Oryza sativa Japonica Group: one gene and its partners. The protein of the gene in region 3 interacts with the protein of the main gene of each other region in a pairwise test. Links are inferred from orthologs where the notes say so. Each region holds a gene or a part of one and is shown on either strand. Other genes may lie near its edges. The genes, in order: ARM REPEAT PROTEIN INTERACTING WITH ABF2, protein DROOPING LEAF and protein indeterminate-domain 16.

What was found.
Region 1: the proteins of protein indeterminate-domain 16 (region 3) and ARM REPEAT PROTEIN INTERACTING WITH ABF2 interact in binary tests that used the Arabidopsis thaliana proteins (3 or more experiments, as listed by UniProt). The link is inferred for Oryza sativa Japonica Group from reciprocal best matches to the Arabidopsis thaliana genes SGR5 and ARIA.
Region 2: the proteins of protein indeterminate-domain 16 (region 3) and protein DROOPING LEAF interact in binary tests that used the Arabidopsis thaliana proteins (3 or more experiments, as listed by UniProt). The link is inferred for Oryza sativa Japonica Group from reciprocal best matches to the Arabidopsis thaliana genes SGR5 and CRC.

The regions. Positions count from the first base shown.
Region 1 is NC_089039.1:19,470,121-19,473,445, forward strand, and holds the end of ARM REPEAT PROTEIN INTERACTING WITH ABF2, read right to left. Parts: intron 2,071-3,325; coding exon 2,007-2,070; intron 1,905-2,006; coding exon 1,825-1,904; intron 1,684-1,824; coding exon 1,619-1,683; intron 1,476-1,618; coding exon 1,358-1,475; intron 1,285-1,357; coding exon 1,160-1,284; intron 1,057-1,159; coding exon 966-1,056; 3' UTR 547-965; downstream 1-546. UniProt on the Arabidopsis thaliana protein: May act as a substrate-specific adapter of an E3 ubiquitin-protein ligase complex (CUL3-RBX1-BTB) which mediates the ubiquitination and subsequent proteasomal degradation of target proteins.
Region 2 is NC_089037.1:6,087,541-6,091,653, reverse strand, and holds the start of protein DROOPING LEAF, read right to left. Parts: upstream 2,926-4,113; 5' UTR 2,825-2,925; coding exon 2,756-2,824; intron 1,876-2,755; coding exon 1,732-1,875; intron 744-1,731; coding exon 650-743; intron 352-649; coding exon 303-351; intron 1-302. UniProt on the Arabidopsis thaliana protein: Transcription factor required for the initiation of nectary development. Also involved in suppressing early radial growth of the gynoecium, in promoting its later elongation and in fusion of its carpels by regulating both cell division and expansion.
Region 3 is NC_089042.1:23,109,642-23,114,042, forward strand, and holds the start of protein indeterminate-domain 16, read left to right. Parts: upstream 1-1,486; 5' UTR 1,487-1,955; coding exon 1,956-2,091; intron 2,092-2,229; coding exon 2,230-2,632; intron 2,633-3,489; coding exon 3,490-4,401. UniProt on the Arabidopsis thaliana protein: Transcription factor involved in inflorescence stems gravitropism, probably by regulating starch accumulation in amyloplasts of graviperceptive cells. Required for stem circumnutation movements. Regulates lateral organ morphogenesis and gravitropic responses.

The DNA of each region.
Region 1 (3,325 bases), on a different chromosome or scaffold from region 3:
GAAGTTGTAATATAGAGTTGAAGTTTGGAAGTCAATGCCCATGCATTTTTTCTACTTGAGCATTTCAAGTGGTAGCTTACCTAGAAAACTTGGGTGGTTGGTTCATCGAAATTTTAGTGTTCTCAGAATTCAGACATGCGAAGAGGTTAGTTACTTAACGGAACATTAGTGGACAACACGACACCATTTGCGCATTGCTTATGGGGCTTGGTCAGTTGGTTGATACTACTATACTAGTAGTAGTATTGTTCTAAATATCAATCGGCTGATATTATTGTTTCTATGTCAGAATATTTCCAAGAAGATCACAGAAGCAAACAAATTTAAATAGAGATACAGAAATTATTAGAGCAGGGCAGAAAAATAAATCCGGCTATTCTTCCGCCGAATATCCAGTGGGACAAAGACAACCGATTAAGCCGCTGACGAGATGGCGGCGCCTGCCACCGTATTTGTCCCCGTCTACCGACGTCAGGCTGGACCGCAATACAATCCATATGCATCTACTGCATATCAGTATATACATGGACCATGACGAGGGACAAGTTGGGAGAAAACGCCAATCTGATTAGCATTTCTGCATTGTTAAACAACACGAAGGAGACGAAACTGATTGCAACTACAGCACTAATACACAGATCGATCTTATCCTCTGCATCATCAAAGAGACGGACATACACGGAGCTCTGGACTGGGAAAGTGGCCCTAAACTCGGTGACTATGCCAAGGCGAAACGAAGTAAACCTATCCCAGCCTAGGCTGGTCCGAGACATGGCTGGCTAAGCCATATGCTCTTACCATGATTTGGGCTCTGTTTTAGTCGAATAAAAGGATGTTACAATGTTGTTGGTGCCATCGAATGCCAATGTCCAACGCCAGAAAAAGAAACTTTTAGCTGTACAAGATCTCCCGAAGCGACTGTCAGATGTGTGGGTGGTGTCAAGGATTGTGGAAGGGGCACGGACTCATGGCTGCGCATTCCTGTGGCTTGGCCTTAGCGCCTTAGCGAAGAAGTTGCGGAGCTCTGGGATGACACGCTGGATCAGCTGGCTTGACCTGCATTGCAAAATGGCATGGCAAATGATTTCTGTTACCTAAAATGAGTTACATAACACAAACATTTGGACCTAGGAACAGGACACTAGGTGAGGAAGTGTACCCAGATTTGACGCAAATCTTTTCAAACTGCTCCAAGATAAATAGGACACATGTATGTCTGAGTGACATTGCATGAAAAGCTTCAGATAGGTCATACATGTCAGAAACGTTGTCTACATTCACATCCTGCAAGGCAGATATATTAAATAAGACCAAGCCAGCATTTTGAGCATAGCATACAGGTAACAATCCTAATTACCTGCGCAATTGTATATTCACACAGACGTTTGAGGCCTTCTAATAGATACTGATCAGCAGCTCTAAGAAGATCCTGAGAGATATCGCTAGTTACTTCCACTGAACCTGTATAGATAAATCTGCATATACCAAATAGGATATTCAGACTCTAGTTTAGCAGGCATTTGCCCACAAACCAGAAAAGAATAATAACAATTACAGATATGTGCACAGAAGCAAAGCGTCCATGGCCAAGGAGGAAGAGAACTCAAAGCTGACTTACCTCATCATGAGTTCAAACACATTCCATCTGATATTTGGAATTTCTATGTCTCTCGCGTCCTTTTCCTGGTTAAGAAAAATAGTATTCGAGTCAAGACACATTGAGGTTCTTTAAAAAATGAAAAAATATACCTCAACAAGAATTGTTCCACTAAGAAACAAATCCACATGTACCAAACGAAAAAAGAAATGCTACACAAGACTCACCCTATATCCGCCATCAAACATTGCACGAAATGCATCCGAAGAAGCAAGTAATGCAATTCTATGTGCATAAAAGCGCTTTCCTGGAGACAACAGGAATATGATTTACATGGATTCTATGGAAAAGATCGAAGTATCTAAAGTGACTTTCTGGTGACAACTGGGTCCACAGATAAAATACCAACCTTCCACCAAGAAGGTAACATCTGAAAGTGTCGAACTGTTCACATATTGCTCACCAAGATAAACCTACAATGAAGAAAATACATTAAGTATCAGGGATTGCCAGCACTGTTGATGGACCAATTGCTCCAAATGATATATTCGAATCCAGCATTGCACAAACTAGGTTTTACTGAGATAACACCTTATTAATAGGACTGACTGCTAATTAGGAACAGACTATCCGGCATATAAATTCAGATGGCAGTATATCTGAATTCTATGTGCGCTATGCTCTGAAGGCTGAGGATAAAAATAATCCATAGAAATGCACAGATGCATACATACTGCCTGAGTGAATTCAAATCTTGCAACAACTTGGTCATGTCTGACAAAGTTCCTAAAAGTTTTGTCCTACAAAAGCCTAACAAAGGAAATAAATGCTTGGTTTGCTCAGAAAGCAGATGGCCTGAAGGTCACACATCTTAAAAGACATGAATGGGAAATCATGCATAGTGTTGACTAGGATGAAACGTATATAAATAAGTGTGAAAGTGTGACGAGGCTGTTGTGCAATTTGCGAGATGAAGCACCATTTATATCAGTATTTATGACAGATGTTTCTATTATTTAGTTTACATGAGCCATGGGGAATATCAGTCAATCATACTTCTAGAATTTCATGGCAACAGTTGTACCACCAATATCATGATAAAAACTTTGAAATTTCGAGGTAAGGCAACAAGAACATGATTAAAGGCAATGTTACCGCTACTGACGAGTCAAATAACACATAGGTCTTAAAAAACTATTATCATAGACTGCTCCAAAATTAACTTAAGATAGTACAAGTTTGAAAAACTGTTGGGTGGTTCAACTGAAATGTTACAGTATGTTATAAGTTATGTAAACTAATGTTTCTTTTTTCAACTTAAAACTAGCATTAAACTTAGCTATTAATATTCACATCCTAGTAACCCTAAGCTTCTTAATGAAATATTGGCGATGAATGTACAGGATTGTTCCTTTAGTTAATATTTTGCAACAATTTTCCGCAGCTATCACATAATTCGCACAACCAAGAAGCCAAGAATCTGTGTTGCATATTTATTTACAGCTATTATACATCCACCTCCAATTTCCTGTCAAAATACTAATCAAACAAGATTGTCAGCCAACAATTAGCTAGTTTTGTTGCATTACACAAATTTCCCCTAAACATGTACTGTTTTGTTTATTTCTAACAAAAAAACCCTTTTAATGCATTGATTATACAAAATAAAATCAATGCATGGGCATTACCACATCGTAGTTCAGTCCATATCACATTGAAAACCTTTTA
Region 2 (4,113 bases), on a different chromosome or scaffold from region 3:
ACAATATAAAAATGTCCTGACCTTGGATGATAAATTATTTTATGTATATTCTTCCTTCTTTTAGAAGGGGATAAATCCCCTTCAATAAAATCGAAACTTTCTCCCAAAACAGGTGCAGATCTCATAGAGTTTATAGTACAGGACAAATAAAAAAAATATTGAACCACTACTAGCTCCCTCAAAAAAAAACTCAGAACAAATAGAAAAAATATATATAAGATCACATGAGTGCAAACCATATTAGGGATCACAAGCATATATATAAGATAAATGCATGGACAAATAGGTAAATAGTTTCTCACCTCATGAAGCGGTTGTAAGCAGATGGGAGGCGGTGTTTCTTCTCTGGGGCTACAATGGAAGACATAAAAACATTTGTCAGAGGAAACACAAGATATGCTAGCTAGCTGTTTGTTCATATTTATATATTCCATGTGAACACAAGACACAGAGAGCTAGTGAAGGACTCGTCAGAAGAAGACAGTTAACAATTAGCAAGAAACTAAGGAGAGACTGAATGACTGATATAAATGAGCAGTAAGCAAGCAAGAAATTTAATTAGAAAGATATTGATATCTACTCTAGCTGGTATATATGCACGTGTATGATATAGCAAGTGAAGTGTGCATATAGTTGCTTTGCTACTTACGCTTCACAACGAAGGGTGCTCTTGGGCTACCCTCATTTGATGTCGGCGAGACCAGCGGCAGCGGCTGGTTCCTCCTGCAGTCAGTGCAAGGTCCCTAACACCAAGAAATATCCAACACAAGAAGCAACCAAGGTTAATTACTAGCTTCCAGCTCTAGCACATTTCAAGATCTCTCAAACGCTTGCCATGCATGGATCAGTGTAGTAGTAGTAGTAGTAGTAGTAGTAGTAGTAGTAGTAGTTGGATGATGATAAAATCATCATTTCCTAACTATTTTCTCAGATCTCTCTCTCTCTCTCTCTCTCTCTCTCTCTCTCTCTCTCTCTCTCTCTCCCTCTCTCTCTCTCTCTCTCTCTCTCTCTCCCTCTCTCTCTCTCTCTCTCCCTGCTTGGGTAGAAGTAGCTATACTAGTCAACTCGGAAAACAGGCAATGAATGCATCTTTCCACACCAAAATAAAAAAAAAGAAGTAAATAAATAAAAATGCAGGTTTAATTTGGAGAGGCATGAATGCCACAGTAGAGCAGCTGCTAGCAGCATATGCTGCCTGAGAAAAAAAAAAGATGAACTGGCCGGCCGCTTTTGCAGCATGAGGCTTTCCCAGGCCACAGATGGGCAAGAGAGAAATCTTTTGCAATCCAGCTTTGTTTAATCTTGCCTTGCAAACAGTATTCTGAGTGGCTCCATAAAGCCGAGACAGGACACAGAGAGCTAGAGAGAGAAGGGAAAAGAGGAGAGAGAAACCGAACAAAAGAACACCCCAAAGCTCTGCTAAACCATATTTCATGAGAAAAAAAAGTCCCACTCTCCATGTGCAATTAATAATTTCTTTAATTATATGTCTTCCCTTTCTTGTATAAGGAGAAAGATTTATCGCCAGCCTTTCTCCTCGCAAGAAGCTACCCATATGCAGAAAAGAGAAAGTAGCTAGAAACAGCAACACGAGAACTGAAGAAGATCAAGACGACGAAGAAGAAGAAGAAGAAAGAGGAGGAAAAATATCAAGAACTGCAAGGAGATTCAGAGAAAGAGAGAGAGAAAAGAATGAAACGCTAGCTTAATTAGCTAGAGGAGAGGACTGACCTGAAACGGGCCCAAGGGGTGATCAGTTGGGGAGAGCGGCTGCACCATCGGCGGCCGCGGGCTGAGGAAGGAGAGGTTGTTGCAGTGGCCACATTTCACGGTCACGGTGTCCATCAGCCTCTTGCATGGGACTCCAACCTGCAGCTACCCAAAAGACGAAAAATTAATTAATCACATCATGCAATTAAGCCAATACTTTCTTCGTTAATTTCATCTCTTTGTTGCATGGCACTGTCCTTAAGGAGAAAAAGTAGAGGAGAACAGCATATCTGTGTGGAAGGAATCTAGATGGAGCAAGCAAATAAAGTGGGATATGCAAAACAGAGAGGGAAAAAGAAAAGGAAGAAGAGAAGATTCAGTAGTACTTGTTTTTTAATGGAAGAACAGAAGATGCAGGTACTACTAAATTGGATTCTTGTCCAGTTTAAAAATGCAGCCTGCAGCTGGTAACAATGAAAGAAGGGGATATAATGGAAGCGAAAGATGGAACATGACACTGCGAGAGAACCAGCTGAGTAGAACATTCTACCACAAAGCATCATATCAAGAGCTATGGCCAATGAATTTTATCTAAGAAAGAAAAAGAGAGCTAGCCAATAAAACACCATGCAGGAAGACAGCAAGGGCACATCAATCACGTGTCATGAACAATCCCCAGTGGAAGTTTCCACTAGCTTAGCAGCTAGCTCCTCAGGACACAGAGAGAGCAAGCAAGAAGCTGGATTTGGTCCCAGCTATCTAGCTAGCTCTCTCTCACTGTGTCCTGTGTGAGAGTAAGCATATGCCATGATGCACATTAAGCAAGCCAAAGGATTGGACCAAACCAAAGTGAGAGCCCTCTCTGCAATCTGCAGCAGCAGGAGATCACGAGACAGAACCAACACTTTGTTCTTTGCTCTCTTGTCCAATTCAAAAGATAACCAAAGAACGAAGGCCATGGTGCAGCTGCAGCTAGCAGCAGCATATATCGATCGTTCTCTGCATGCGAAGCTAAGCCGCTGCTCCGGTTTCTCGAGGAGTTTACCGCGAGCACGGTGTTGCAGTAGGTGCAGCGCACGTAGCACAGGTGCTCGGACGGCGACACGAGATCCATTGCGGCGGCGACGACGGCGGCGACGGCGACAAGCAAGCTAGCCCTAGCACTGAGGCGGAGGAGGAGGAGGAGGAGGAGCAAGTGTGAGCGGTGGTGCGGGGGAATCAAGGGCAATAAGAGGAGAAGAGGCCGGAGGAAGAAGACGGGAAGGAGGAGAGAGAGAGAGGGGGGGGGGGGGGGAGAGTTGGGCACAGCGGGAGGAAGGATGGGGTAGGGTTTCTATTGTTGCAATAATGGCGAGGGGGTCCCACGCACACATGGACCCCGTACGCACGAGACCAACCACAGTGATCGGGAGAGCGAGCACCAGAAAAGTTTTTATTTTTCCTTTTCTTTCTTTCTTTCTTTCGAGGCAAATGTTGCAAGCAAAGCTAAGATAGATAGCGAGATGAGATCCATGGTTGGATGGATGGATATATCAACATACACCGCTCTATCTTGTCGAAACGAAAAAGAGAAACATCTTTTTTAAAATGGTAATTTTACCATCATTAAAAAGATACCTAGAGAACCATATTTACTAACGTTTAGTATCTCGATATTTTCTCAAGAACGGTAAAATTTCTCTTTTTGAAAAAATATAGAGATGGTGTGTAAGAAGCACGGGATATTCTCTTATAACGTGTAGAAAGACTTTTTCATGTACGTATATATGTGTAACTCAGCATAGTGATCTGACAGGTCTCTTCTATCTCTCTCTCTCTCTCTCCATATGTGTACATGTACACTACACATCGTAATATCATATGCATCTCGAGGCTATGGGAACAGTATATGTTTGCTCCTATAGCTAGCTATAGCATATGCTTACAGTAACTAGCTAGAGTGGTGTCCATCCGATCCGGTGGCGAAGCCACAGTAGTACTACATCCCATCCAGTTGTGCCTTGTACTGTGCCCTCAAATTGTGAATGGTCCAATTGCTCCCTCTCTCTCTGACTCGGAAGATAGTACCGGTACTGCTTGACATATACCCCTAGCTAGCCAGGTTCCTAATTAAATATCTAGGTGTTAGTTCTCAGAGCACCTAAAATAATCTCTGCAGTTTATAGATTTTTGAAATGTTTTTTGAAAATTGAAATATCTAGGAGTTTCTTTTTTCTATGGAGGATCGGAAATGAAACTTTGGAGCTTGTGTGGTGTGAAATCTTTAGAGAATATCTTCCTTAACTGGCATTTGAGTTGTTGAGGAATGTAGTAGGTTTCTCAGTTTTATTTTGTAATTACTCCCTCCATTTCATATTATAAGTCGTTTGACTTTTTTCTTAGTCAAAATTTTTCAAGTTTGAT
Region 3 (4,401 bases):
CGATTTGGTCACTAGTGACCATTACCTCTGACGGGTCAGACGGGATAACGTCACCGGTGAGCCATCCGGCCGCGGACCGTCACAGGTATCCCCTCACCTGTGACGGGCCGAAAGGAAAACCCGTCAGAGGTATACCAGTGACGAGTTTTGCTTCCAACCCGTCACTGGTATCCCCTCACCTGTGACGGGCCGATACATTAGAAGCCGTCAGAGGTGATGGGCCGCCACCTGTCATCAGTGACGGGTCGTAAGTTACAACCCGTCAGAGATGAGTCATCAGTGACGGTCAGGTAGTTACGACACGTCACTGATGACTCATCTGTGACGGGTGACAAGTTTTAACCCGTCAGAGATGACTTATATACCGGTCAGAGATGGGTTATCTGTGACGGGTGTTTCATCCGTCACAGGTGATTTTGTCATCAGTGACCACTAATCACTGACCAAGACCAAACCCGTCAAAGGTGAGGGTTTGGGCCCGTCAGAGATGACCTGGTCCGGCGTAGTGCGTATTCATTGATAGTGAGACATGTGGTAACGCTATCAATCTCAAGATATACATGACTAGTCTTCAATGGTAAGGTGTGTGCGCCGCTCATGCCTATACTATGTTTTGAAAGAAAAAAAAAAGCAAGCCACACCCACATTTTTTCTTAAAAAAAAAGGGAAATGAGCTCAAACGCCGTTTCACGATAGAGCACCTCCCATCATTAATAGGTTCGTATTTGAATGAAATTAATGGTTAAAGTTATACATTGCAGACCGTGCAAAAAAAATTATATACTTTATATTTTAGGTATTGATGTCGTATTTGCATCGAATATTTTGATTTGATAATTCCAATAACACAGAAATAAGAATAAATAAATGGAAAATATTTTTTTTTTGCACAGCATATGTGGCATGCCCTCCAAGCAAATGTACCCCTTTTCTATTTTAAAAAATAAACTATGGTCTTTAGCACGCACATATATATTTATATTGCACATAAATATATTCCTTTATATATAAAAAGGTTATTTATATTGCATGTTGTATTTTAGTTAGTGCACTCTCATATATATACACACTACCTCCATTTCATATTATTTCATATTATAAATTATTTTGAAGTTTAACCAAATTTATAAAAAATCTAAGAAACATAATTAATTTCATTAAAACTAACATTTTATATAATTTAATAAAATGATTGTTCTATGTTAAAAATGTTTTTATTTTTTTAGAAACTTTATCAAACTTAAAAATGTTATGACTTAAAAATAAGTCAAAACGACTTATAATATAAAACAGAGGAAGTATCTAATATATGTACTCTCTTCCAAAAACCTCTTTTATTTGGAACCCAGCCGTAGCCGGACCCAGAGTATATCCATGCTGCAATTGCAACGTTTTTGCAAAGCCACCGGTTTTAGGACAGGGAAGAAGACCCAATAAAACACCTACCAACTCCGGCCATCCCCCCTCCCTCCCCCACACACCCCCTACATGATACAATCCTAAAAGAAAGCTGCTAAAACCTAAAGCTGGTAGAAAGCTGCCTCCCCTCTCCTCTCCTCTCCTCTCTCATCTCCCCCCTTTGGTGTTGTCTGTGTAGCAGCAAAGCCAAAAAAAACAACACTGCTCCAAACACCTTTGCTCCTCATCCTCCTCCTCCTCCCTCTCGATTCCTAGCTGTACTCACTCACTGCATCTCCTCCTCCCCTTTTCGTTTGTTTATTCTCTTCTCCGGCTTCCTCGAGCTCGCCTTAGCTAGAAGCCTGTGGCCCCGTGATCTCTCACTGTTGTGGCTTATATAGAGATAGATATCCGGCTCGGTTCCATTGATCCGTTCTTGTGGAGTTGTGTGATCAGAGCTGGAGAGATTGGCTAGGTTGGAGGAGGAAGGGGAATTCTTGGTTGTAAGGGAAGAGGTGGGAGTGGTCACCGGCGGTGCGCGCGCGGAGGCGGACATCATGCTGAGTTCTTGCGCGCCGACGGCCGTGCCGCCGCAGGATGCGTCCGGTGCGGCGACGGAGCCGTTCCGGTCTCTGCAGATCGCCACCGCCGGTGCCGCCGCGAAGAAGAAGCGGCGGCCAGCCGGGACACCTGGTAAGTGGAGCTCTATACACACATCCAATTACACCGGCTACGTACGCGCGTTCTTGCGCCGGTCGGTGTTTGTCTTGAGGAGGTAGCTAACGAGCACATCTGTGGGCAATGGCGCGCGTCGCCGGCCGGCGGGAGCAGACCCGGACGCGGAGGTGGTGTCGCTGTCGCCGAGGACGCTGCTGGAGTCTGACCGGTACGTGTGCGAGATCTGCAACCAGGGGTTCCAGCGCGACCAGAACCTGCAGATGCACCGGCGGCGGCACAAGGTGCCGTGGAAGCTGCTGAAGCGGGAGGCCGGCGAGGCGGCGCGGAAGCGGGTGTTCGTGTGCCCGGAGCCGACGTGCCTCCACCACGACCCCTCCCACGCGCTCGGCGACCTCGTCGGCATCAAGAAGCACTTCCGCCGCAAGCACAGCGGCCACCGCCAGTGGGCGTGCTCCCGCTGCTCCAAGGCCTACGCCGTCCACTCCGACTACAAGGCTCACCTCAAGACCTGCGGCACCCGCGGCCACACCTGCGACTGCGGCCGCGTCTTCTCCAGGTACGGCCACCGCCACCGCCACCGCCGCCGCCGCATCTCCATGCATCCATTAATCTCATATTCTCACATTTAACATGCCAATTACATATCGCTCCAAATCTTTTACACACCTAGATAGTACTATACAATCTTCTCCTTTGCAATAATCTTTGTCAAATGCGGGCGAGAAAGGCGTGATGATTTTTTTCTGGAGAATTTTTGCGGGGTCGCTTTGCCATTGTAGGCCTCATCAGCAACACCCTTTATGAGCAGTAGCATATCTATATTCATTCATGCCATCCTCTGGTACGAGTATTTACTCCCAGGAGGGGAGTAGTATTGTGGCATCAACAGGAAAGAGAGAGAGAGAGGTAGCTAGCCTAGCTGAGAGATGTGGCAATGTAGCGCGAGCTCTGCAGGCACAATTCCCGATGACGCCCTGGCTATCAATCGATGTGTGTGGCTGTGGCCTGGCCGTCCGTGTGGGCGTAGCGTATGCATCATACATATACTACGGCACTGGCCATTGCTTTGATGTTAGCTTGGCTTGTGTTTTGCCTTTGCAGGGGCTCCATTTAATGCAATGCCACGGCCACGAAACCCAGGCTATGCTATTGCTAGCAGCTGGTTGCAGGGCCCAAAATTTCACGCCTGACAAAACCCCCCTGATCGCCTCCTTGGCTTCTTCTCCGTCCGCCTCAGTATCTCACCCATGCGCATAGAATACTAGTGTAATCCAAAGCTAAGCTATAGCTAGAGACTTTTCTTTCTGGCTGTTTATGTTGCCGGTTATTAGTACCACCTCGCTTGTTTGGTGCCGCGTGGGGGTTGTTTTTAGTGGCGCTAACGAGATGCGGCGTGTGGATGTTGATGCGCAGGGTGGAGAGCTTCATCGAGCACCAGGACGCGTGCAACGCCGGCAGGCCACGCGCCGCCGAGGCGTCATCGTCCCCGGGACGCGGCGGTGGCGTCGTGGTTGGTGCGCCGGCGGCAGCATCGTCGTCTCAGCAGCAGCAGCTTTTTGCGGTGCCGGCTTCGTTGTCGCGGACGGCGTCCAGCGCCAGCCCGTCGAGCGACCTGGTGGTGAGCCCGGTGGCCTGGCCTGCTACTGGTGGTGGTGGTCCGGCAATGGTGAGTCCCCGTGCTGCGGCGCCGGCTCCTGCTGGCGGTAGCATCGCGGCGTTCCACCACCGGTTCACTGACCCGGCGCTGTCGCCACCGACGCCGTGTGGTGGCCGGCGAGGAGGATGCCACACTACCCACAGCCTGGAGCTGCAGCTCATGCCACCGCGCACCACCACCACCTGCGCAGGCGGCAGCCTCGGTGGTACTCCAGTTGCCACCGCCGTTGGGTACTACGCTTCCTCTTCGCCGCATTCGCCTGCTGCTGCTCTTCCGTCGCGGCAGCCGGTCGCCGACGCAATGCGGCTGCAGCTCTCGATCGGGTTCGGCGGCGCACGCGATGATGGCAACAACAACAGCAGCAGCAGCAGCGGCGAGGTGTCGGCCTCGGCGACGAGGCTGAAGGAGGCCGCCCACGAGCAGCTGCGTCTGGCGATGGCCGAGAAGGCGGCCGCGGACGAGGCGCGCGCGCAGGCGAAGCGGCAGGCGGAGCTCGCCGACCAGGAGCTGGCGACCGCGCGGCGGATGCGGTACCAGGCGCAGGTGGAGCTCAGCCGCGCGCACGTGCTCCGCGACCACGCCATACGCCAGGTCGACGCCACGCAGCTGCAGATCACCTGCTACAGCTGCAGCCACAAGTTCCGGGCGAGAGCGGCCGCCATGATCAG